Linked DNA regions of Alligator mississippiensis. Each later gene encodes a partner of the first gene's protein in a complex. Links are inferred from orthologs where the notes say so. Each region holds a gene or a part of one and is shown in the gene's direction. Other genes may lie near its edges. The genes, in order: CHD5, MTA3 and CDK2AP2.

Region 1 (8,062 bases):
TTTGACTCTCTTGCCAGCAGTGCTGTCTATATGCTTTTTACTGTGTTGGTTCCTTATTGTTGGAACCCCCTCTCATCTGGTGTGCTCAAGGCTTGTTTCTCTAAAACCATTTGTAAGGCACAGGAGCATTTATATTTAAATGTTACTGTGGAAGTCAAGCTCTAAGTGTGTTTATGGTTGTGGCAATGGTGGTTTTTTGTGTGTTTGTTTGTTTTAACTAAGGTGATGCGTTTCCATGTGTATTGCTTGTATGTCCCTGTCCTTTTGACTTGAAAGCTGTAAACCCCTCAAGAGAGATCATGTATTTCTCAACACAGCACCTCATGTATTCTGATCATTATTGCATTTGCTTACTAAAGAATTGGAAAAAATGTCAGTTGGTTAGTGACTGAGTTTTATAATGTCTGATGAAGCCATGTACCTTTATTTGGTACCAAACAAAAATAACCCTGCCTTGCTGGCATGCTGTTGTTGACAGTATCAATTTTCTTGGATTTGGGGGTGGAGGGAGAAAAAAAGCTGCTTGGCTTTTCTGTTATAAAGAAATTGCTGCATTGTCTGACATGTACCTTTACATGGGGACTCATGCTGTGATTGATAACATCCTTTCCCAGCCCCGAATTATTTGGTTTTGATGCATGTTATTGTGCAGGCCTTAATTCACTGATTCCATTGAAAGTTTTTTTTTTTCTAAAATAAAGTTTGTTTAGAATGTAAGCTTCTAATATCTTCACTTTTGATGTGGATAGTCATGTGTGCTTTTTTTTTTTTTTTTGCATTAGAGAGCTCTCCTTGGTATTCCCCCCCCCCCCCCCCCCGGCCCCCAAGGTGTTCTTTTTAATTTTATTTTCTTAATTAAGTTTGTGCAAAGGCAGGGCATGACTTGGCACTTATCTCCCAAGAAGTGCCTTAGCTTTTCCCTCCTGTGTTCTGAGTAGCATGTCTTTTGTAGTTACTTCTGCAGTAATAGCCTTCTGGCTTGCCTTGCAGAGAGTTAAGTCATTTCTAGTAAGGTGAGAACACTTTTTTTTCTTGGTTGAGAAGATTTTAAATCTGCTTGTTGAAACACTAATATAAAACATAATTTGTTCTTCTGAATCGAGTTAGTGGTAAAGCCCCACAGGGGAGGATCTTCAGGAAAAAAGATGTAATGAATGGTGCTGTTAGGCAAATATTGCAGACCTGAAAGTGCTTTGAGCCTATACACTACCTCTTTGTTTCTGAAAAAGTAAAATAGCATGTTACAATCTGTAATCACAGTGGGGTTTGTCCAAAATGTCTCATCAAGTGTGAAAGACTTTAAGACAAACTCTTCTTGTTATATAATGCAAAATTGAAACAGCATAGAGAAAAGCATGATGGGAATCTTGTAAACTATTTATTTGAATTTCTCCTACAGCATGTAATGTAGGATAAGAGGTAATTGTACTGCTTTCAGTTGGATTACTGGTTTCCTTCTTTCCACAGATACCTGAAGTATCTGACTAAGAAATATCTGAAGAAAAACAACTTGCGTGACTGGCTGCGTGTCGTTGCCAATAGCAAGGAAAGTTATGAATTACGATACTTCCAGATCAACCAGGATGAAGAAGAGGAAGAGGAAGAAGATTAAATGCATGTGAATCTGGAAATATTTTGTATATTAAATTTCCTTGAATAAAATGAAAAAAAAAAAATGTTAACATTTTCTGTGTTTTTCAAAACTCTAGTGTTAGGCAGCTCTTCCAACTGTCCTGATTGATATGGTGGTCATTCTAATGCCACAGTAAGTACTTAATTAGTAAAGGTTAACAGCTTTTGTTGTACAGATAAACTTTATCTAACCAGACTGCAGTAATGTAGACATTTTTTCCTCCTGCTTGATCTTGATTCATAAGAGAATTTCTCTTGCAGAATCTGGGGTCCCTCATAAAATAGTCTTCTCGTTTTGGAGAACTGAGATTTCCTGTTTATTTTTGTAATACCTCAAGTACAATATTACTTAACGGTCTCTTTGTAGCAGATTTTTATTTCACTTAAAATATTCCAGTATAGTAGAATGAAAATTGGTAAGTGTCTGGAAAAGAGATTTGTCATGCTTTGACTTTGTCACACTTAGCCCTAACAATTTGCTGTGCCATCTGGCTTTGCTTTGTTTTATGGAGCCCTGTAGCATCATATGTTATGAAAGGGTTGAGATTTTGGAAGCTGAGGAGGGGATGTAGTCAGAACACCAACCACTTCATCTCAGTGTCTCAACTACAGATGAGAAGTTTAGCCAGTTAATTTCCCACCCTTTTTTTTTTGCTGTCAGACCTATCTGGTTTAATTTTTAATTAAGAATCACTGTATGTGGCTTCAAAGTTATCTCCAACCAGAGGTCTAGTCTGAATAGAATGGGGTTTTTTTTGTTTTTAAAGGTTTCCCCTTCCTTGGCTAATGTCCCACAAGGGGTGGCAGCGGAGTCTGGTTGATAGAAAAGATCAATCACACAACACTTTTTTTATTTGGGTAATGTTGACTTCCAAGAACTTTTTGCAATAGTGCTTTTGAAACTGCAATGTAAAATCTGAATTTGCAACTTGTCAAAGCATTGTGCACTCAGATGCTTCTCTCAGCCTGAGAAAACTTAAAGGTGTAGGAATATTGGTATGAATGCGTGCAGTGGGGTCAGTTTTCTTCACATCCCTAAGAAGTTATCAGCTCTGCTACAATGTTTGAGTATTTGTTATTTATACAGGTATATTTTTGCTTACTTATTACAGATGAAGACAGTCTTGTAGCATGACAATCTGTTCTTAGTCGCATACCGTACCTTTATCATTTTACAAGTAATTAAACAAGGTGTTATTTCATAGGGCTGATGGAGTCATTTTTCAATGAGCTTTAGAAACTGTTATTAAACTTGTAGGTAGCGTTATTTCTTGTTCTCTTCCCTCTCCCTAGTAATTTGCCATTGCTTTTTTTTGGTGACAGAAGGTTGGATGGATGTGTCTTCAGAGATTGTTGTGATATTTCTAAATGGAAATGCTTATCAACATGAGCCCTGCTGACCAAAGGCTCAGATTGGCAAGCAGTTTGCAACAATGGCTCAGTGAACAGTGTTCAAATCAAGGCTACTGAACTTTGGCTGGGAAAAGTCATAGTAACTTGGCTTCACATTATCATGATAGGCTGCTGGGCTTCAGGCCTGTCTGCACTGCACTTGCAGTAAAATCAAGGAATCAAGTGCACTTGAATTTCTAAAATCTAAATCAGCCACACTGGAGCCTGATTGGATCTGTGCTTGGAAGTCTGAGTATGTGAACTCTTGGTTTTAGTTCCTCAGGTCTTTTTTTCCCTCCCCAACTGCCAACATGTTGGTGCACTGAGTCACTAAAACATTTCTTGAACATGAAAGCATTTATTAGTGCTTCTTTCTTTTAGTTAAAATCTGTTTTCTTACTGGTGTGAGAAATAGGCGTACACTGAAGTGTTAATTTAAATGATGCTAACCTTCTATAGAAGACCCTATGCCATTGCAGCGGCATTTGTTGCTGTAATCTAAGATGTGGCTTACCTAGGGTATTTGTGACAGGCTTTTCCCTTCTGGAATTCCAGATGGTGAAATGCTCTCTTAGGTTGGGTGGGGAATCTTGCTGAGTTCTTACCTGTGAAGCACCTGTATTTCCACCACTAAAATGGGACAACTTATTGATGTCAGGCTCTGCCACTTCTGATGGACTAAGCTATACATAGGCACTGGAGCCAGACTTGGGAGTCATCTTTTTGGACAGGTGCAAAAAGAACCAGTAAATAATGTACTGAGCTGAGTGACATGCACATCTAGTCGGAGGTTTTAATGTATGTGACCTGGTGCTCCTGGTGTGTGAAAGAAGGGTGTTTGTTCACTGTGTGCCTTGGCTTCCCTTCTTTGAAGCAGCTGTTTGCATCACAAGCTGAAGGGCTGCTGGTAAAGTGCTTCCAGTTCCTTTTCCTGCGTGTTGGCCTAAGGACATAAGTAGACAAGGCTGTTTGGGCAAATGTGATATCTTTTATTAGACCAACTAAACAGTTGGAAAAAATTGTTCTTTGCAAGTTTTTGGGTACAAACACCCTTTGTCAGGCTGAGGAAGCTTCTGCAGTTGGTGCATGCTCTTCCTGGATGGAAGGAAAAGTAAAGAAGCTTGCTTAAAAAAAATTTCCCTCAACTATATAAATTGGTTTAAAAGAAGATATCAGATTCACCCAAAGAACCTGGTCTGCCTATGTCCTTAGATCAACATAGCTTCAACCTACACCCTTGATAAAAGACTAGACATTTACCCGAAGAACCTTGTGGGTCCAATTCCTTTTTAACACCGGGCCAGCTGTGGGCTGCTCAGAGCCCAGACGGGCTGCTCTGCTTCACTCCTGTGCGGGATGAGCCGCGGGGGCCGGCCGGGGAGCGCTTCCCCGGGGGCGGGGGCGGGCGCGGGAGGGGCGCGCGTCCAGGTAGGTGCTGCAGGCGCCCCGCTGTGCCGGCTCGTCTAGCGGCTCTTCAGCTCGCAAGTCACTTCCTCAGAAGCGCAGTGCGGTGACCTCGCCTTGCGGGGGAGCCAGGCGGGCGGGGCGGCCCTGGCAGAAGCTGCCTCTTGCAGCCGCGGAGCTGAGCGGGCGGGCTGGCGGCCGCCGGGGGGAGGGCTGGCCGTTCACCCGCGCGGCCGGGCCGGGCCGGGCCGAGCCGAGCGGGGCGCAGGCGGCAGCATCCTTAGCAGCCGTGGGGGGCGCGGACGCCCGTTCCCTCCCTCCTTCCCGAGCGGCCCCGGCCCCGCGCCTTGCGCAGCCCCGGCGGCCGAGCGAGCGGTGCGGAGGCGATGGGATGCGGTTGCCTGGGCAACCAGACTGGACGTCACACTCTGGGCATGTGTAGTCCCGGCTGGTGCCGCTGCTCCCCCTCCCCGGCTGGCGGGCGCGGGCGCGGGGGGCGGCGCGGAGCGCGGGCGGCTTCGCCTCCACAGGCGGGGGAAGGCGGGGGAGCGGGAGCGGGAGCGGGAGCCAGGGCAGCCGCAGCCGCAGCCATCTTCGCGCCGCGGCCGCGCCCCGTGCAGCGCCCGCGGGTGGAGGCTGGCGCCGCGGGGCGCCCCGGGCCGGGGCCGGGGCCGGGGCTGGGGCTGGGGCTGGGCAGGCGCCGGCCGCCGCCGGGGCGCGGAGCATGCGGGGCCCCGAGGAGGAGCCGGACGACATGGAGCACGAGGAGGACGTGTCAGGTAGGGGCCACGGCCGGGCCCAGGGGAGGGGCGGCACCCGGGCTCTGCCCGCGGCCCCGGCGGTGCCCCTGCCCCTGCCCCTGCCCGCGAGCCGCGCCCGGCCCGGCCCGGCCCCGCGCTCCCGGCAGCGGCTGCAGGTGCGGCCCCGCCAGCCCCCAGCGCCGGGGAGAGCGCGTTTCCCAGCACAGCCCGCCTGGCCCCCCGTGTCTTGGCCCCCTTGTCTGCCATAAACTTTCCCTACCTTGGCGTCAGGCTGTTGTTTCCTCCCACATTGCCTTGGAGACTGTGCTGTCATCCTTTCCCCGCTTAGGGCACCTCGGTGTAGACCCCTCCCTTGCCTTTCCCTCTCCCAGGCCTGGCGCACTGCTGTCCCTCCCTCTCCCTGCCCAGGTTGTATCCTGTGCCCTTGCATTGCTCGCGCTGCCCTTCCCGGCTGTTTGGAAATCCTTCTGTGTCCTGGGGGCTGTAACCCCGTGCACTGGGGTGTGGTATTAAGGCCACCTAACTGGCCAGGGCAGCCAAGTCAGCTTAAACAAGCCTCAGTTGGAGGATCTGGATTTTCCTGTTGGTTTTCTTACCCAACAGACTGCTTTACCGGTCTGTGGCTGGTACAGGTGACACCCGTCTGCCAGGCTGGCAGCACCCTGGAGTGTGCTCCAGCTGCTGAGTTAAGTCCAAGTAAAACCGTGCTGTTAGGCTGCTGAGTGCATCAGCCGTGTCCAGGTTAGAATTCAGTAACCGCAGTGGAACAGGGCTCCTGCCACATGGGCAGGGACATGGGCAGGGATGACATGTAGGGGGTGCACATGCACCCCCTGAGTGCGGCAGTACATCCCCTACAAAAGACGCCGGTGTCTGCAGGCGGTCCACAATCACTGCTGGCCACCATCAACGGCAGCTGCAGGTGGTCGCCAACCCTTGGTCAGCACTCGCCACCCTCCTCCCCCCACACCGGCGCTGTCAGCGGCGTCTGCGGGAGCTCTCCCGCTTCTGCCACCGCCGTTGTGCTCCTGCCACTGCCGTACCCCCCTTCCCCCCCAGTTGCTGGGAGCATGCGTCGTTCATGGACATGGGGCATAACTGGGCGAAGGGATAACTTGTACTGTGAGGTTTGGTACTGGTCAGCAGGCCTGATGGCTGTGCCATTTCTCCAGGTGTGACCTAAGTAGGAAGTGTCAGTCTAAGCGAGTGACACTAAAATGACCAGTGGTGCTAATGGTGTCAGGGTGTTTGGCTTAACCTAGTGTTAATGGGGACCAAAGTGCTCGAGAGGAGGGTGGTGTGGTTTTCAGTGGATGTTTCTCACACGCAAAGCCTCCAGTGGAATAGCCTGGTGCTCTCCCAGATAACCCTGGGCAGGGTCTCCAGCAGCTGCTCCCAGGAGTGGCATTCTTCTGTGTTTTCTATCTTAATGACAAAGAAGTAAAAATTGAAAAGTAGAAAGAAGCTTCTGCCTGCAGAGTTTTTTGTTTTTAAGTCAGCCTTGTTCATGTCTCCCACCTGGAACTTCTCTTGTATCTAATAAAGCAGGCACTTGGGCCAAACTCACTGCTAGCATAAGCAGCTACAAATCCATAGAAGCCAATTAAGTTGCAATTGCTTCTGATGAGAGTAAGGAAGTTCCCCCGACACAGGGAGCCAGCCTGAGGCCTGTGCAGTGCTGTAGCATGCCATTTCAACCTTCTGCATGAGGTGCCTGTTAGAAACTTCCAGTGGATATGCCTTGTTCTTAAATTTCCAAAATAAATGCATTTCTGTGTCGAATGCAACTTAGGAACAAGGATATAAGACCAAAGTAGAATTTCTGGATAAATGAGAGCTGATTTGCTAATTCTGTCAGGCTCTAACCTTCAGTCTCTCCAGTGGAGAAGTGATATTGGTGCCTAGTGTCAAAGCCATGAGGACGGTAGTGAGTGAGGGACTGTGATTCCAAAAGCCCATTAGACATGTATCATTAAGAACTCAGGTACAGGATGCTCATTTTTGCAAGCTGTGAAGCTATTTATCTCTATCCTATGCTTTGTTTTCCAAGGCAGGAGGAATTTTGAACATCTGGCAGTTAAATGCCACCCCATCAGTGTCAAAAAGGGTCTGTACTTCCTTTGCAAAAATGACTGGAGATTATTAAGATCCTTTGGTTTTCACTCTTAATACACCTGACTGATGTCTAATCAGGCAGATAATCAGTGGCCACAGTTGTGCCATGGAAATGAGAGTGTGACTTTGCATGTGTTGGAGAGAGATGTAAGTGGAGCGGATTAGTGTAATCTAAATAAAAAACAACAACTTGTGTCCAGTGATTTCCTGTTATGGGGATTAAGGCATCAGTAATTCACCTGTTAAATCTATTGCCATTGCTGCTTTTCTCCTCCCAATTTTCAGTTCATTTACCCACAAGCTCAGTGTGCAGAATGATGGTGATTAGGGTCTGAACCCATTGTAATTGTTCTTCCTGGAAAGGTGCTTAGAATTTTGCAGATTGACACTTTTTCTATACATGCATAAGAAAACATCCCAGAGGAGTTTCCTCCATTGATGGGTACTTCTTTTCAGCTAAGAAAAACAGAAAGAAGAAATACAAGTGTGCAGCAGAGGGGGTGCAGGGTTCTCTCACTTAGCGTTTCCTATTCTAGCTGTCCTTATGTTCGTGTTGGAGGCAGTAGCAATCACAGTGCTTCCATCTTGCAGAGACACACACAGGAGTGGGGTGAGAGGAACTTGTCCTCTCTCTGCCCCTCTGGAGAAGGGCTTTAGTGTTCCCTGTCCTGGAACTTGCTTTCTTTAGCAGCAGAATCAGAGGTCGAAGAGAGGCATATAGTGTTGGTCAGGCCAGCTCAGTGATAACTTTTAAACGA
Region 2 (7,892 bases), on another chromosome or scaffold:
TTCTTGCTTCAAAATTGTCTTGAACTTTTCATGTTATTTAAATGTTTAAATTAATTATTTCTTTAAAAAACAAGGTTAAACTGTTGATTTTTTTTAATATTCCAGGCAAGATGTTATTGTAGTGATCAAACCCTTTTGAGGGACTCTGTGTGGCTGTGTACATACATTCAAATAATCTGGGATAATTCTCCCAGGTTTGTTCTCCTAGTAGAAAAGTTACTCAGCACAGGATGTACGGACATTTGTTCTTCTAGAAGAAACTCTCCCAGGGTGATTTAACTCTGGTTGCTCCCAGGTTATTTTTCTCCTAGAGTGGCCATTTTTACTCTGGGGGAAAAAAAGCCTCAACTTCTGTACACTTGTAGTTTTTCCTGGGGCAGCATTGACTCTCCTGACAGAAACTGAATATTTGTATGAGGCCTGTGTTGCTGCATAATTAACAGCAGCTAAATTGCTCTTGTTTTCCACTAGAACTACTAAATTCAGGAAATGAAACATGGACTGTTCGATAATGTATGAGAAATGTTATACTAATGGTCACAGACTTTTTTTTAGAAGGGATATGAGCATGTGATTGACTGGAATACGTACTGCCAAGAAGGGAAACTCATATGTAGGGACCTAATGAAATCGCAGTTTTATAGATTTTGTGAAATCTGGCATTGGCTAAGAAAGTAGGCAATGCCAGTGAAATCTGAAGAAAGAAGACAGGGAGAGAGAGAGAGAGAGAGAGAGAGAGAGAAAAAGAAAACTCACTCAAAATAAAATCCTGGCTCCCCAGAGGAAGCCAGCAATTTTTGAGGTGCTGCGGCCTGCCACAGGGGGGAAGCAGAAGGGGAAGAGCTGCCCACTTGAAGGGCTGCAGGCAGCATAGCTGATGCCCCTGCCCCTCGCCGTTGATTGATTGTCTGTCATGTTGGCTGCCTGTCATGTGGCCCTACCTCTCTCCATCAATCCATGGTGAGGGGCAGGGCCTTTGCAGCCAATCAATGGTGAGGGGCAGGGTCACTGCCCCCCCTCAGCCAATCAGAGGAGTATGGGACGAGACCATTGCATTCTGCCCTCAAAACAGCGGCTGGACCCTGCATTCTGCCCCCGAACATGATTGCCAGGCCCCATATTCTGCCTGAAAAATCAGCAGATACTGCCTCAAATTCAGTAGGTCCCTTCTCATATGTATGGTTAATGATTTTTCCCCTTATGTTTACTAACTTATTGCATTCTACAGTGTATTTCCTTTTAACTCAGGAATGATGTGAGATGCCATCTTTATATCATCCATAGCATCTGATGAAGTAAGCTGTTGCCTATGAAAGTTTAAGCCTTTCTGAATGAGTTTGTCTCTAAGGTCTTGCTTTCTGCCATCTTTATAACAGGATACACAGACAGCAATCCTGGATGTGAGACAAATGACACATCATCATTGTTACGCAAGAAATTAGTAGAACCTTTTTGTTTTCCAAGGAAAGAGTCCAAATCATAATCTAGCTCTTTAATAATATATGTTTTTCATGTGATGAATTTAAAATAAACAAGGAAAATCACTTATAATTTTGTTATTGGTGCCTTGAGAGCATTTCTGAATCAGTTTTATTTGTAAACAACTCTTTTAAAACATTTATTGATTCTGAGACCAGCTACAAGATTTATCTTTGTTTCATCTAGTAATTTTTCCAGGATATATGGTAAACTTTTTCTATTGGACATTTTTCACTCTCAGACAGGGTTTTTGAAAACAATATAAGAATTTTCATGTGTCACCGTCCAACAAGCCTTGATTACTACTGTCAAATGTATTCAAGGAGATCATCACTTTAACTGAAGGTTTATGCTCGGATGAATTGTGTGTTACTGCTCAAATGAAAAAAAGGTACATCATCATGGTAAAACAAATGAAAAACCAACAATGCCACTGAATAAATGTGTAAGCAACTCCCTTTGGATGAGAATATACAGCTGTCTGTTGAGAATATTAATATTTGAGTACAGCAGTGATTATGCCAGTCAAACCTCTGGATGCTGAATGTAAAATACAACATGGAAATAAAAACCAAGAGGGTCACAAGTTAAAAACAGCACAGGGTGGGATTCATTGCTTTTATGACAAACTGTGATCCAGTGGAACAAAGGACCAGACCAGGAAGCCACAATTAAGTCCTGCCTCTACTAGTACTGTGGAAATTTGAACAAATTGTTCAAACTATCTTCTTCTAAATGTAAAAAGGTATAGTCATTATAGGCACATGATTGTAGCCTTCTGCTACAAGAAAGGTTTTTATGCTGTCTGTTAAGTGGTCTGAAATTGTTAAAAGGTGTGAAATACTATAATTGCTGTAAGATAAATGGCATGGTTAATTAGATCCATTTTGTGACTGAACATTTCAAAGAAAATATCTTACAAAAATAAGAGTGTGTCTTTTTTCATGGAGTAGTAGTACATCATGTATCTATAATGAGGGACAGTTAAAAAGTAGAATGAGGACCTGCTCATAGGAATTTCAATTATTTAAATACTCCAAATATGTATTTCACATACCCTATCAGTAAACACAAGTACACAAACTCTAATATCAATCTGTGGACATGCATAAGAGTACACAGGCACCTGCATGCACCCCTCTTCCATAATAAGCATGCATTTGTATCTTCTCTAAAGTGCCTTTATGTATGGGTGCATACTTCACTGCCCAAAGACACAACTGTGATTATGTTCCTTACTTTCATTATAGGCACCCATTCATTTACTTGTGCTTTATAACAAACCTATGTTTAGATCAGTGATTCTTAAGCAGGGTGCCACAAGATCCACTCACCAATATTGAAATGTTATGCAGTCTTAGTACTGCTAAGTGAGCAAACACCTATAACTGACTCACAAGGTAAACCCGGAGACTTCAAATAGGAATCCAATCAAACCGGAAAACACTCTGTCCTATAATCAATTTTCTGAGCCCTTTACACCAGAATTGCTCTTTTTTCCTGTAGTTAAAAATGAGTGAAAGCTAAGAGCTGGCATTTACTGAGGGGTGCTTTGAATCTAGAAAAGTGAAAAGCCACTCATCTAGATACACAGCTCTTAACATTTCTCCTTCCATGGACATACAACAGACCACTGGTTCTCAACCTTTTTAGACTCAGGGCAGGCACCCTTTGAAAAATGTCAGCTCTTAGCTTCCACTCATTTTTCAATGTTGGGAAAATACTAGAGGCATTCTTCTGTTGTAAAGAACTCTGAAGGACTGCAACAGGTCAGATTATTTTTTACACTGTGGATTCCTATCCGTAGTCTCTGGGTTGATCCTGTGAGTGGGGTGTGCCAAGACTCCTGGAGGGTTCTGGCTGAAAGGTCTTGCCCCTGTGCTCAGGGTTAGACCAAATGCTGTAGTTAGAATCAAGAAGGAATTTTACCCCATGGTATATCAGAAATTGGTATAGACTGTGGAAGTTTTTGCCTTCCTCTGTAGCAGGGGGCCTGGCTCTTTTCCTTGGATCTCTCAGGTGTGTTTAATAATACTTATAGTAGCAGGACATGGGCTGCTGTGGTCCCCCTGCTGTACTTGTGGCAGATGAGGGTGCTGCGCCTTGTGGTTGTGGGGTGGGCAATTATTTTGGGCGGAGGGCCTCTTACTGAGTTTTGGCAAGCAATCAAGGGCTGCATGACAGGGAGCCCAGGGCAGATCAATATTCATTTTCTAAATTTTTTAGGAGCCCCTCAGGCCGGATAGAATGGCGTGGTGGACCACCTTTTGCCCACCCCTGGTGTAGTCAGTCACATGCAGGTGTTTGCTAACAGGTTAGACCAGGGGTGTCAAACTTGTCTGGACTTGCAGGCCAGAGAAGTGCTACAGGATTAGTGTGTGGGCTGGATGACTGGTGTGGGGATGGCCCAGTGGGCTTGACTGGGCCCACAGACTCTGTTTCCAGTCCAGCGGGAAGAGGCCTGCCACCCCAGGCATTTACCTGCTATGACAAGAATGAGCTGCGGACCTAGAAGCACAGGCTCAGGGGTGACTTGGTGGCAGCCTATAAGTATATAAGGGGTATGCATCAGGATTTGGGGGAATGTCTGTTCACCAGAACACCCCAAGGCATGACAAGGTCCAGTGGTCACAAACTCCAGCAAGACCATTTTAGGCCGTGCATAAGGAAAAACTTCCTTACTGGCTGAGCCTCCAAGGTCTGGAATAGACTCCTTACCAAAGTGGTGCAAGCACCTACTCTGGACACCTACTCTGGACACCTTCAACAAACATTTGATCTTATGAGGTCCCTTCCAGCCCTAATGTCTACAAAAATCTATGAAAGTCTGTGCCCTGGCTATCTCCCCATATGTCTGTGGGGGCTCCAGTGCCGTAGCTCTCATGAGGGTGCTTGGCTAAGGTGGTGGGACAATGTCCCTAGCAAGGCTGGAGGCTGGTCTTTTGGCCTGCAGGCCGTGTGTGACACCCTGGGGTTAGACAAAGGACTGGAGCTAGACGTCTCAGTGGTGGCAGGTGATGGAACAAGGGGCAATGGTCTCAAGTTGCAGGATGGGAAGTTTAGATACATTATTAGGGGGAAAAAATAAACTTTCAAGAGGAGGGTGGTAAAGCACTGGAGCAGGTTACCCACTCTCCATCCTTAGGAGGTGTTTAAGACCGGCTAGACAAAGCCAGGATGCTGTAGTTGGGCTGGTCATGCTTTGAGCAGGGGGGTGGATCAGACGCCCCCCTGACATCCCTTCCAACCCACATTTCCTATGATGTGTATGGGGCCAGCTTGGCTAAGGCCCGTCCTGCACCGGGCGAGGGGGAGGATGCCCCGATGCCCCCCGGCGGCCCGCCCACTCCAGCCCGACTCGTGCGCGGCGCCCCGGCCCGGCGTGCAGGTGTCTCTCCGCCCTGCGCGGGCCCCCGCAGGGCCAGCCCCCGGGCCAAGATTAACCCCTTGCGCGCTGCAATCAGCGCGCGGGCGGGAGGAGGAGGGGGGAGGTGGTGGGAGCCGCGGGAGCCGCTCCCTCCTCGCCTAGCCCGGCCCGGCGGCGGCGGCGGGAGGAGGAGGCGCAGCGCGCAGACATGGCGGCCAACATGTACCGAGTGGGAGGTAGGTGGGAGCCGGGCCCGGCCCCCCGGGGCGCTGCGGGCAAGGGGCAGCGCGTAGGGGGGGAGGGGTGTGTGGGGTCGGGCCCGGCCCCGGGCAGCGGGGCAGGACGGGGAGCAGGGCCCGGCCCGGCCCGGCGCTGCCACGGGGAGAGGGCACGGGCGGCCTGCCCGCAGGGCCGGGGGCACACGCAGCGCCCCCGCCCCCCCTCGGCGGGGCGAGCACGTGCTCCCCGCAGCCTCTGGGTGTCCCTGTGTGCACACGTGTGTGCCTGTGTGCGTGTATGTACCTGTAGTGTGTGCACCTCTGTGTGACTGCTCGGGCGTGTGTGTACCTGTAGTGTGCGTGCACACGTGTGCACATCTGTGTGCGCCTACGTGTACCTGTAGTGTGTGCGCACGTGTGTGCTTGTGCGCCTACGTGCGTACCTGAAGTGTGCGTGCTAGTGTGCCTGTGCGCGTGCTCGTGCACATAAATGCCCATACCTGTAGTGTGCACATATACATGTGGCTCTGTTTGTGTTTGTACACGTGTGTCTGTGTATGTGCACACATGTTCCTGTGTGTGCGCGTGCATATGTGCATGTGCCTGTGTGTGCTCACGTGTGCCTGGGTGTGTGCTTATGCACCTGTGCCTGCCTGTGTGGGTGTGTACATGTGTGCCTGTGTGTGTACCCATGCTTGTGTGTGTGTTGCGGGGGGAGGCAGCCATCCCTGGGCAGGAGGTTGTTGAGGGCCGGAGGTCCTGTGCCTGGCCTCTGCTCAGGTCTGATGGGCCCACAACCTGCATCTGTCTGGGACTTCCTGCAGTGTCTGTCATTCCCCCTTGCTGCTTCTTGAAGGTGCAGTTCCTACCCCTGCTTCCCTTTCCATCCCCACCCCACCGCACCACAGTTTGATGATAAGCTGCCTGCGGTCTGCGGGGGAATAGAGCAATTTTTTTTTTCATCCCCCTTCTCTCCCTTGTGTGTCGGTTCACCCGCTGCATGGGCACAAAGGAAGTGAGGCCAGTCAGAGAGTCCAAGAGTCTGTGGAAGAAGACAAACACTTCCTGTGTACACCGCAATACTGCTTTGCTGTGATTCCTGGCATAAAGAATGTGAAAGGGAAAAGTCCAGCTGAATTTTGCCTCTGTACACCCCCTGACATTTACTACACAATAGTATACCTGTCCTATCACTGCCCAAAGTAGTATCCGGTGCAGGGGACATGGAGAACAGGAACTTAATAAGATACATGTTTTCCTGTTTGAGCAAATCATGTGCTAAGGAAGCCTGAATTAAAGATGGCAAACTGATGAACTGGGTCCCCCTTGTCCCCCTTCCACCTGATGCAGTTATAGCAACAAGTCCACTCTGTTCCTCTTCCTCTGTTAGGTCATTTAGTCCTGTAAATCTTTACTCAGTCTTTACTAGAGTAGTGCTTCTGAAGATCAGGTAATGGTTTACAACAAGGATGTCAAAGATGTGGCCTGCAGGCTGGATCTGGCCTACAGAGCCATCATCTGTACAGTGGAGCTCTTGGAGGGGTAGAATGAGCAGGCGCAGACCCACAATTTAATTTTGAGGTATGGAGACTGGGTTTTTGGTTGTAGCCGTGTTGGTCTAAGGACATAGGCAGGCAAGGTTCTTTGGGTAGATGTGATATCTTTTATTAGACCAACTGAGTAGTTGGGAAAAAGTTCTTTGCAAGCTTTTGGGTGCAATCACCCTTCTTCAGGCATAGGGAGTCTCTGCTGTTCTGAGATCTCTAAGGAATCAAAAGCTAAAAGTGTGGCAGGATGTCAGTGAGAATGTAAATAGGTACAACTTTTTGTTTTCCTAATTTTTGCCTGTTTACATTCTCACTGACATCTTGCCACACTTCTAGCTTCTCTCATTTCTTGGAGTCTCAGAACAGCAGAGACTCTCTATGCCTGAAGAAGGGTGATTGTGCCCAAAAGCTTGCAAAGAACTTTTTTCCAACTACTCAGTTGGTCTAATAAAAGGTATTGCATCTACCCAAAGAACCTTGCCTGCTGAGGTATGGAGATGTGTTTCTGCTGCAGGCTGAGCCATGACTGCATTAATCTCTGTGGCTCCCTGAGCTGACGCAGCCCTGCTGCTACCACTGACCAAGGTGTGTGTGGAGTTGGCCAGCAAGGCTCCTTGGGATCTGAATCTGGCCAGGGGGTGTTGCAAATGAGTTTGACATCCTTGATGTACACAATGTAGTTCCTGCTGCTCAGACTGGATTCTCATCCTGTGGGTCTTCAACTCGTAATAGAGGTGAAAACCATCCTCTCATTAGGGTGAAACGAGATGGGATCCTGAAACTTTCTTTTCTTAGGTGGGATCATGATATGAAAAAAGTTGAGAACCACTAGTTGAGAGCTTGCTAAACTTTCTACTTTTGTGTTCCAGATGAAAAACAATGATAGCATGCATATTTTTTGTGGTTTAATCTTAAGATGTTTCTCAACAACCATCTGGGAGGTAGGGTGGGTTATAGTGAAGCTAGTTAATTGGAGATTACCCTTGAAGACTGTAATCAGTAATTGGAGATTACTGGATTATATTCACTTCTACCATATATAGAGAAAACTCAGACATTGTTGCAAAACGAAAATAAGACAAACTTTCAAATTACATTTGAATTTAGTGAAGCATTTCTTAGAGAATCTCCAAAAAAGGTAGGTTTTGAGAAAACAGATTGAGGGAAAGATGTTGCGCACAGATGTTTTGATTATTTTAGGGGGTTGGACTCGATGATCTGTGAGGTCCCTTCCGACCCTAGCGTCTATGAATACACTGGAGATTGAAAGCGCTTAGCCAT
Region 3 (7,174 bases), on another chromosome or scaffold:
ACACACCCCCTCCATGTCTTTTTCCCTGGGACTGCACACAGCAGAGGGGAGCTGCTCCCTGCCCCGCCACTGAATGAACCACCCATGACTCTATCCCAATCTCTGGCTGGGTCCTGCAGCTGCATGTTCCTACCTTGGGCCCCATGCACCACCCCGGCTGGGTAGCATCCCCAGCCCCAGCCTCAGCTGCTAACCCTGCCCCACTCCCTCCCTCACCATGGGGACCTCAATCTGCCTCCCCACCCCAGACTTATCTGTAGGCAGCTGGGGGAGCTGCTCTCCCCTGCTGCCTGGGGCTGTGTTGCTGGCCACATGCGTGAGTGCACACATGCATGTGGCTCCTCCCATGTCTTGCTTCCCTTAGCCCCAAGCAGCCCCTTGCAGGCTGAAAGGGGAAACCTGCTGTTTCCCACAGTTTTCCACAGCAAATGGAAAACCTGGCTCCCTGCATGCTACTGGGAAACCCAGGACAAATGCTGTCCAGGAGTCAAGCAGCCTGGGACAAGGATTTGACCTTTAAATTTTGGGACTGTCCTGCCCAATTAGGAACGGGTGGTCACCTTAGTTGAGGGACCATATTGTGTGTGGAGCACTAGGGTTGGGAGTGAGTGGAATCCCTGTTTTGTGATCTGGGGAGATGGGACTGGAGATGAGGACAGGTCTATTTTGTGTGTAGGCAGGAAAGGGGGCAGACTAAGCCAAGGTGTACTCTGCACTGGGTCAATCAGTATTAGTTTGTTAATGAAATTTATTGATAACACACTCCTGCTATTTGTGCCAAGGTCATTAAAGAAAATAATTTCAGTCTCAAGACCGATCCTGGAGGCACTCCCTTCTGTTATTCAGCCCAATATTTCCCCTTTCAATGCTACCAGCTGTCATCTTCCCTTTAATCAGGTCCTTACTCACCCAACAGTTCTTGTATAGTATTCATTGCTTTCAGTTTAGCTAATAATTTCCTAGGTGACATTCTTTCAAATGCTTCTCTGAAGTCCAGACAAATGAGCTCTACTACATGTTCTTGGTCTAGAAAGACTGCTATCTTAGTGAAGATGCAGGATGGAATGTTTAAACTTTTGTAAACTCGTATTGTAATTTTTCCCATTTTCCATATAACTAATTTTTAGTCTTCAAAATTAATTCAAAATGCAACGATTAAAATTAATTAAAACATCTTCATATTATTAAGGCCAGACTAACAGATGTGCTGATGAAACTGTAAAGGTGTCTTGCTCAAAGTGTGAATTTGAGCCCTGCTGTGGAGTTGTGCCAAAAGCTGCCAACAGTTGACTTAGCTATAAATAGATACCAGGTTTCTGTGGCTGGGAAATTAAAAGGAGCTGGCAGTGATACTAGCCACATCATTCCCTTGTGTGCTGCTGACTGGAAACTGGCTTGTTTTAACCATGCTAACACAACTAGCCCTTTGACTTGGGCAGAATCTCAACCTAAACAGGCCTCTAGTTGCCCAGGTCACTCCTTTCTCAATAAATACAGGCACTATTTATTTTCTAGCCATAGGATACAATTCTTGATTTGATAGATTAATTACAAATCCTTGCTCCCAGACCTGTGATTGTGGGTGTTGAGTCTTTCAGAATTCCAGGATGCAGACTGCCAAGCCCCCACCCCTACATGGGCACATTGAGCTCTTAGTATTCTGTTTCCCATTCAGCCGTGGTCATTTCCATTTCCATACCCTCTCACCCTGCCTTTGGCTCCACTGTCAGCCTAACTTTCCTTACTGCAAAATGAGAAGTGGGTGCATCTACATGTGCTATAAATGCACTTACTGCACATTAAAAAAGGAGTAGTAAATTGCACCTGGGGAAAAGTCTTACATGTGTGCTGGCAAATTTGCTCCCAACTGGAGCAGGTGAGACAAGGGATGTCCCTGTGCCCCCTCCCCCCTGCCCTGCTCTGCCTTGTTGCAGCAGCCAGGGGGAGCTCCAGGCTCCCCGAGGTGCCAGCTCCCGGCTGGCAAAGGGCAGGGAGCTGGTCCCAATCACCACGTGTAGGGGAAAAGCTGTCCTAGCAGCTGGGACTGCTGAATCCCAGCCACGTGGGGATTGGACCCAAGTGGCTGGGAGAGGGGTGCTGCCTGGCAGCCATATGGGAATCAGGAGGGTCCTGATCCCCACATGACTGGGAGAGGACCCTTCCCATCCCCACATGGCTGTCTCTGCCAGGTGAGGATGTTTCTTCTGGCCATGTGGGGACACCTCTCTCGGTCATGTAGCTATTGGGATCCTGAGTCCCACTTGGCTGGGATGCAGCAGTCCTGGCTGCCAGGACAGCTCTCCCAGCCATGTGGTGATCAGGACAGTCCCTGTCCCTATGTGGCAGGGAGACAGTTGCCCCTGCAGCCAGCACAGCTCCTGCCACATGGGGCTTAGCCTGGCAGCAGTGGGCCCCCTGGTGCCTGGACTGGCCCAGAGCAAATGCTCCTGGCCAGCATCTGCACATGCACTACTGCACAGTGGCTAATGTACACTTGATCTACTACTACATGTATTTTCAGGTAGTAGATAACTGCACATTAGCCTATAATGCAGTAGCTTGGCATATGGATAAATAGTGACACTTTACTACGCAGTAAATTAGTCTATTGTGCAGTAAAGCATCTCCTGTAGACACACCCAGTATTTACTCAGTTTGTGGCCCACATTGCACCCCTCACTGCATACTAGCCACCCCGCTTCTGTCCTTGTTCTCTATTTCTTTTGTTATTTTTCTTAAATGTTGCAATGTCTAACACGTCTTAATGTTTAGCAATTCTCACTTTATTCTTAAATTTCTTAGCTTTCTGGGCTGTTCTGACCATTTATCCCACTTTTTGCAGACTCTGCTTATTCCAAATATCCTTCCTGAGGTGATATCCCTCCTCCCCACTGAATACAAGGTCCAGATAGATGTTTGCATCTTTGAGTTTCTGCACTTGAATTCAATTCCCGGGGCTCCTTAGGCTGGTTGACTTCAAGTGTGCCCTTCTGAAGCAGCCTAGATACAGACTTATTTTATTTTAATTCTTTGTGAATTAGACTGAATCATCTCATGATGATTTGACCTACACTCCCCCTACGCGTCACCAATGCTTCCAAGAGAAATGCCACTGGGAAGCTAAAGACCACAAGGCCTAGGGAGGCTGCAGCACCCACTGTAATGCCCTCTCCTGGAGCCAGCGGTGCTTTCCCTACCTTCCCCCTCACATGAACAGGGAACTCTAGGGATGCAGAAAGAGGTGCAGCTGCCAGCTGTAACTCAAAACGACTTTTGGTTCTGAGTTACAAGCTTACCCCAGACGAAACAGAAGTTCACTGTTGGTTGGGGGGGGATCTAGCTGGAGGCCAGGTTCCCACAGCAATGGCGAAGCTCTGTGCCAGCGTTCACCTTTTCGAGAATGAGAGAGGCGAAAGGCCATGGAGGGAGCTCTTCTTCGGGCTCCCTGGCTGGTGCCAAAGGGTAGAGGTGAATTGGAGCCTCTCCCCGAACCTAGGGGGCCTCCAATACACCTGTCCCACTGGTGTACTCCCTCTGCCCCCTTTCCCCCTCCCGTCCTGAAAACAGCGACAGGCTGGGAGCTCCCAGACACAAGTTACAGAAGACGCTAGTTTGAAAGGTCTTTATCTGATCCCTCCTGCAACAGGGGGTCAGGTTTTCACCAGGCAGGCCGTTTTTGAAGCTGTCTGCAGCCGCGTGCTTGTGTTTGGTCACAGCTAGAAGCTGCTTTCTGTGGCCTGATCAGGCAAAAATGGTCACTTCTCTTGCACCACAGAAAGCAGGCAGCCTCCCGGGGTCCTTTTCCTGCCCAGCGCCCCGGAGCGCCGGCGGGGCGGGCTGCAAGAGCTGCACACGGGCTGGACGCGGAGGAGGCGCAAACACGAAGTGCTGCAGGAGGACACGAAGGCCCTACGCACCGTGCGACACACGACACGAGCCGCCCCGCCCGGCCAGGCCAGGCCAGGCCGCGCCGCAGAGCGTCCCGCTGGTTTCCTTGGAGACGGCGGCGATCGGGAGGCGGGGCGACGTGATGAGGTCACAGAGCGCGGGGGGCGGAGCGCGCAGGCGCAGCGGCGGCGTCACTGCGAGCGGCCAGCCGGGGTCGGAGGCGAGCAGAGCGCGGGTCTGGCTGGCAGCCACGCGCCGCAGCACCGGCCCCACCCAGCGCGAGAGCGCGCCCCGAGCCGGCCAGCGCGGGAGCGCGCCTCCTGAGAGCCGGGCCTGCCTGAGCGCGACCGCGCGCACACACCCCACGCGAGGGCACTGCCGACCCCGCAGCGCCGGGACCCAGCGAGGAGAGCGGGGCAGCGGCAGCCAATCGGGAGCGAGGGGTGAACGGCGCCGGCCAATCGGCGCGAAGCGCCTCGCCGGCCGCCCAATCAGCGTCGCGCGCCGCGGCGGGGGCCGCCGCCAATCCGCGCCACGAGCCGGGAGCCCCGCGCGGCCGTCGCCCGTCGGGGATGTCCTACAAGCCCATCGCGCCCGCCCCCGCCAGCAGCTCCGGAACCGCCGGCGCCAGCAGCAGCAGCAGCAGCGCCAGCCCCGCCGCCCCCGGGCCCGGGGCCCCGCCCGCCGGTGAGGGACTTTCCGCCTCGCGCAGCCCCCGGGCGGGACTGGCCGGGTGGGGGGAGGGGGGTGAAACCTTCGCGAGCCGGAAGTGGCCTCTGGGTCCTAGTGCGAGACGGTGGCTTTGGGGCGGGTCCCGCCTAACCCTGCGGGGGAAACTGGCTCCTGAGACCACACATGGGAACCTGTCTGACCCGCGGCAGGGGGGCAAGCCCCTCCCCCAGGAGCGTCGGGGCTTAGCCCCAGCAGGAGCCCTGGGACGGCCCAGTTTGGTCCACAGCAGTTCTGGGGGAGGTGAGCGAGGTCCCCCCACAGGTGTAGCAGCAGGAGTGGGGAATCCTGCCCAGCCCAGCCCAGCCGCTTGGGAAATACCAGGTGCCTTGCACTGTGCCCAGCAGTTTTGGCCAGCATGTACAATGCCACCCATTGCAGCCTCTCCCTGGGTGGCCTGACCTGCTCTGTCCCTGCCGTAAGCTTGTCCTGACTGGTTTAGCCTTATGTAACTCAGCCAGTCAAGGAGCTCTGCTTCGTTCTGCTGCTGAGCATAGCCTGCTCTAGGCTGTACTGTTCCTCTAGTTATCTCCAGCCAGCGGTGTATGTCGGGGAGCTTCTGGGCTTCTAGCTGGTGCTCTAAAAGCACCCTTGGGCGTAGCTAGATCATCCCTGTCCAATGATTGTCTCACCTGTTCTTGAACCCCTCCTGTGAAGGAGAGTTCACAGCTTCCCTAGGCAGTCTGGTTCATTGCCTCACTGGTCTAACAGAGAAGAAGTTGGAGTGATGTGATGTAGTCGCCAAACAAGAAAATGCAGTTTGAAACAGGGCACACCTTCATGCCAAAGGCAGGAAAGAAATGCCATCACTCAATGTTGTCTGGGGCGAGGGGCTCCCTTACCAGGGGTAAAGGATAGCTGATGGTGGGTGACTTGACCTGCTGCTAATTGGCCAGCAGCTGAAGCTGTTGCCTTGTGGGCCTTGGTCACCAGGTACTGCTGTGGCCCATAGGACATGTGCATAAGCTTGTGTCCCCCAGGAGCAAGCAGTGCTGCTCCTCTGCCATGAATTGAGAAGGAAAGCTTCGTCAGACCAACATGGTGTCTTGGTTTCTTTCAGCATCCGTGCACTGTTTGTGCCTGGCTAGGCGTATGTAATAGGGGCTCCTGATCCTTATTAGTTGAGTGGAGTGAATGCAGTGCCACAGAGGGCAGGCTGTGGGGGCAGCTTGCAAAGAAGCTGGCTGCAGAGCTTTAACCCTTTATGGAAAAGCAACCTGCACATGCAGGCCATGGAGATGGGCTCCAAAAAATAAGTTTACTAATTAGTGAAGAGGATGCCCTATGCCTGGTTCTGAGAGTTAGAGGTCAGGTGACCCAAAGGGAATGGAGCCTAGGGCAATATAAGACTGGCTTTTAGGTTGGAGGGGGCTTTCTGGCCCAGACCTTGAAGAGAGAAGGATCTCTGCAGAGGGTCTCATAGATGAGTTGTTTTTGTTTCTCTTTCAGTTTATATTAGCTGTGAGGCATGGGGTGGCTAGAGGGGAAGAGTGGAGGCTACAAGCGAGCATCTTAGGGAGTGTATTGTTGAGTGTTTTGGTTTGGAGAAGGTAGTAGCCTTGTGAAGCCATGGCAAGTACCTAGAGAGGCCCTGTGAGTTTAGTTCATTGGAGCTGGGTGGAGACTGCAGGCCCAAGAGAGGGATATAGGTTAAGGGTAGAAACTGGCTTGAGACTGAGGACTGGTAAGTATTAAACAGAGGGAGACAAAGGGTTGGACTGATTGGCAGCCTGATGATGAGGAGAGCAGAATGAAGTGCTCTAAGGCCTGGTCTTGTGTTGCAAGGGCAGCTTTCCATATTTGTATTTATTTTCCAGCCAATGAGGATAGGACGATATCCTGTTCCTCAGTCTAGTTCCCCAGGATAAGTAGGGCTGTCTTCAGAGGCAGGGCAGCTTTTGGATTGGGCCTGAGAATATTGAGAGGTATCCTCCTTGCACCAAGGTGCAACAGTAGAAGGCCAAGACTCACTGCAACCCTAGTGTCCCAAAGGACTCTGGGAGACATTTTGTAGGGAGCTGTCAAGTGAGATTGAGTTAGTGGGGCAGAGGTGACATGCATTGCTGTAGGAAGGCTGGGGCAGCCTGAAGCTGGGCAGGCCAAGGATGGAGAAAGTGAGTTCAGCTCATGTGGTGGTGTGGGCTAGGCACAGGGAGGGCTGTGCCACAATCTCAAGCCATGGCCCATCCTGGGCTGAACTATACAACAGGGCAGAAAAAAGATGTCCCACTCGGTGAGTTTCTCTGACTCACTTCCCGTGTGAGTCAGCAGTCTGGGAGGAAGGTGGGTGCAGGCTGGGATGGCGGTGTTGAGAAACAGCTGTAGCAAGCTGAAGGGGTACTGTGTTGGGTGGACAGGTCCAGGAGGAGCACCTAATATTAGGGCTGATTTCTGAGTTGGGCAGTGGATCTAAGATCAGGCTGTGAGGAGGAGGCTCTTGAAAGGAGGTGGCTCTTCTGCAAGGCAGGATATTGCCTTTATGACATTTTTCTGCAGGAAGCTGACAGAAAACCACAAATTCCTGTGGGTGAGGTCAGCAGGGCCCTTGGTTACATGT

Evidence for each region.
Region 2: CHD5 (region 1) and MTA3 share a complex: the UniProt entries of both Homo sapiens proteins name them as parts of the nucleosome remodeling and deacetylase (NuRD) repressor complex. The link is inferred for Alligator mississippiensis from reciprocal best matches to the Homo sapiens genes CHD5 and MTA3.
Region 3: CHD5 (region 1) and CDK2AP2 share a complex: the UniProt entries of both Homo sapiens proteins name them as parts of the nucleosome remodeling and deacetylase (NuRD) repressor complex. The link is inferred for Alligator mississippiensis from reciprocal best matches to the Homo sapiens genes CHD5 and CDK2AP2.

The regions. Positions count from the first base shown.
Region 1 is NC_081836.1:18,202,961-18,211,022, reverse strand, and holds the start of CHD5 (chromodomain-helicase-DNA-binding protein 5), read left to right. Parts: upstream 1-4,969; 5' UTR 4,970-5,152; coding exon 5,153-5,207; intron 5,208-5,448; exon of another isoform or gene 5,449-5,537; intron 5,538-8,062. Other genes in the region: RPL22 (large ribosomal subunit protein eL22), read left to right, coding at 1,468-1,612. UniProt on the Homo sapiens protein: ATP-dependent chromatin-remodeling factor that binds DNA through histones and regulates gene transcription. May specifically recognize and bind trimethylated 'Lys-27' (H3K27me3) and non-methylated 'Lys-4' of histone H3.
Region 2 is NC_081824.1:194,058,706-194,066,597, forward strand, and holds the start of MTA3 (metastasis-associated protein MTA3), read left to right. Parts: upstream 1-4,844; 5' UTR 4,845-5,054; coding exon 5,055-5,082; intron 5,083-7,892. UniProt on the Homo sapiens protein: Acts as a component of the histone deacetylase NuRD complex which participates in the remodeling of chromatin.
Region 3 is NC_081825.1:170,472,829-170,480,002, reverse strand, and holds the start of CDK2AP2 (cyclin-dependent kinase 2-associated protein 2), read left to right. Parts: upstream 1-4,083; 5' UTR 4,084-4,460; coding exon 4,461-4,575; intron 4,576-7,174. UniProt on the Homo sapiens protein: Acts as a component of the histone deacetylase NuRD complex which participates in the remodeling of chromatin.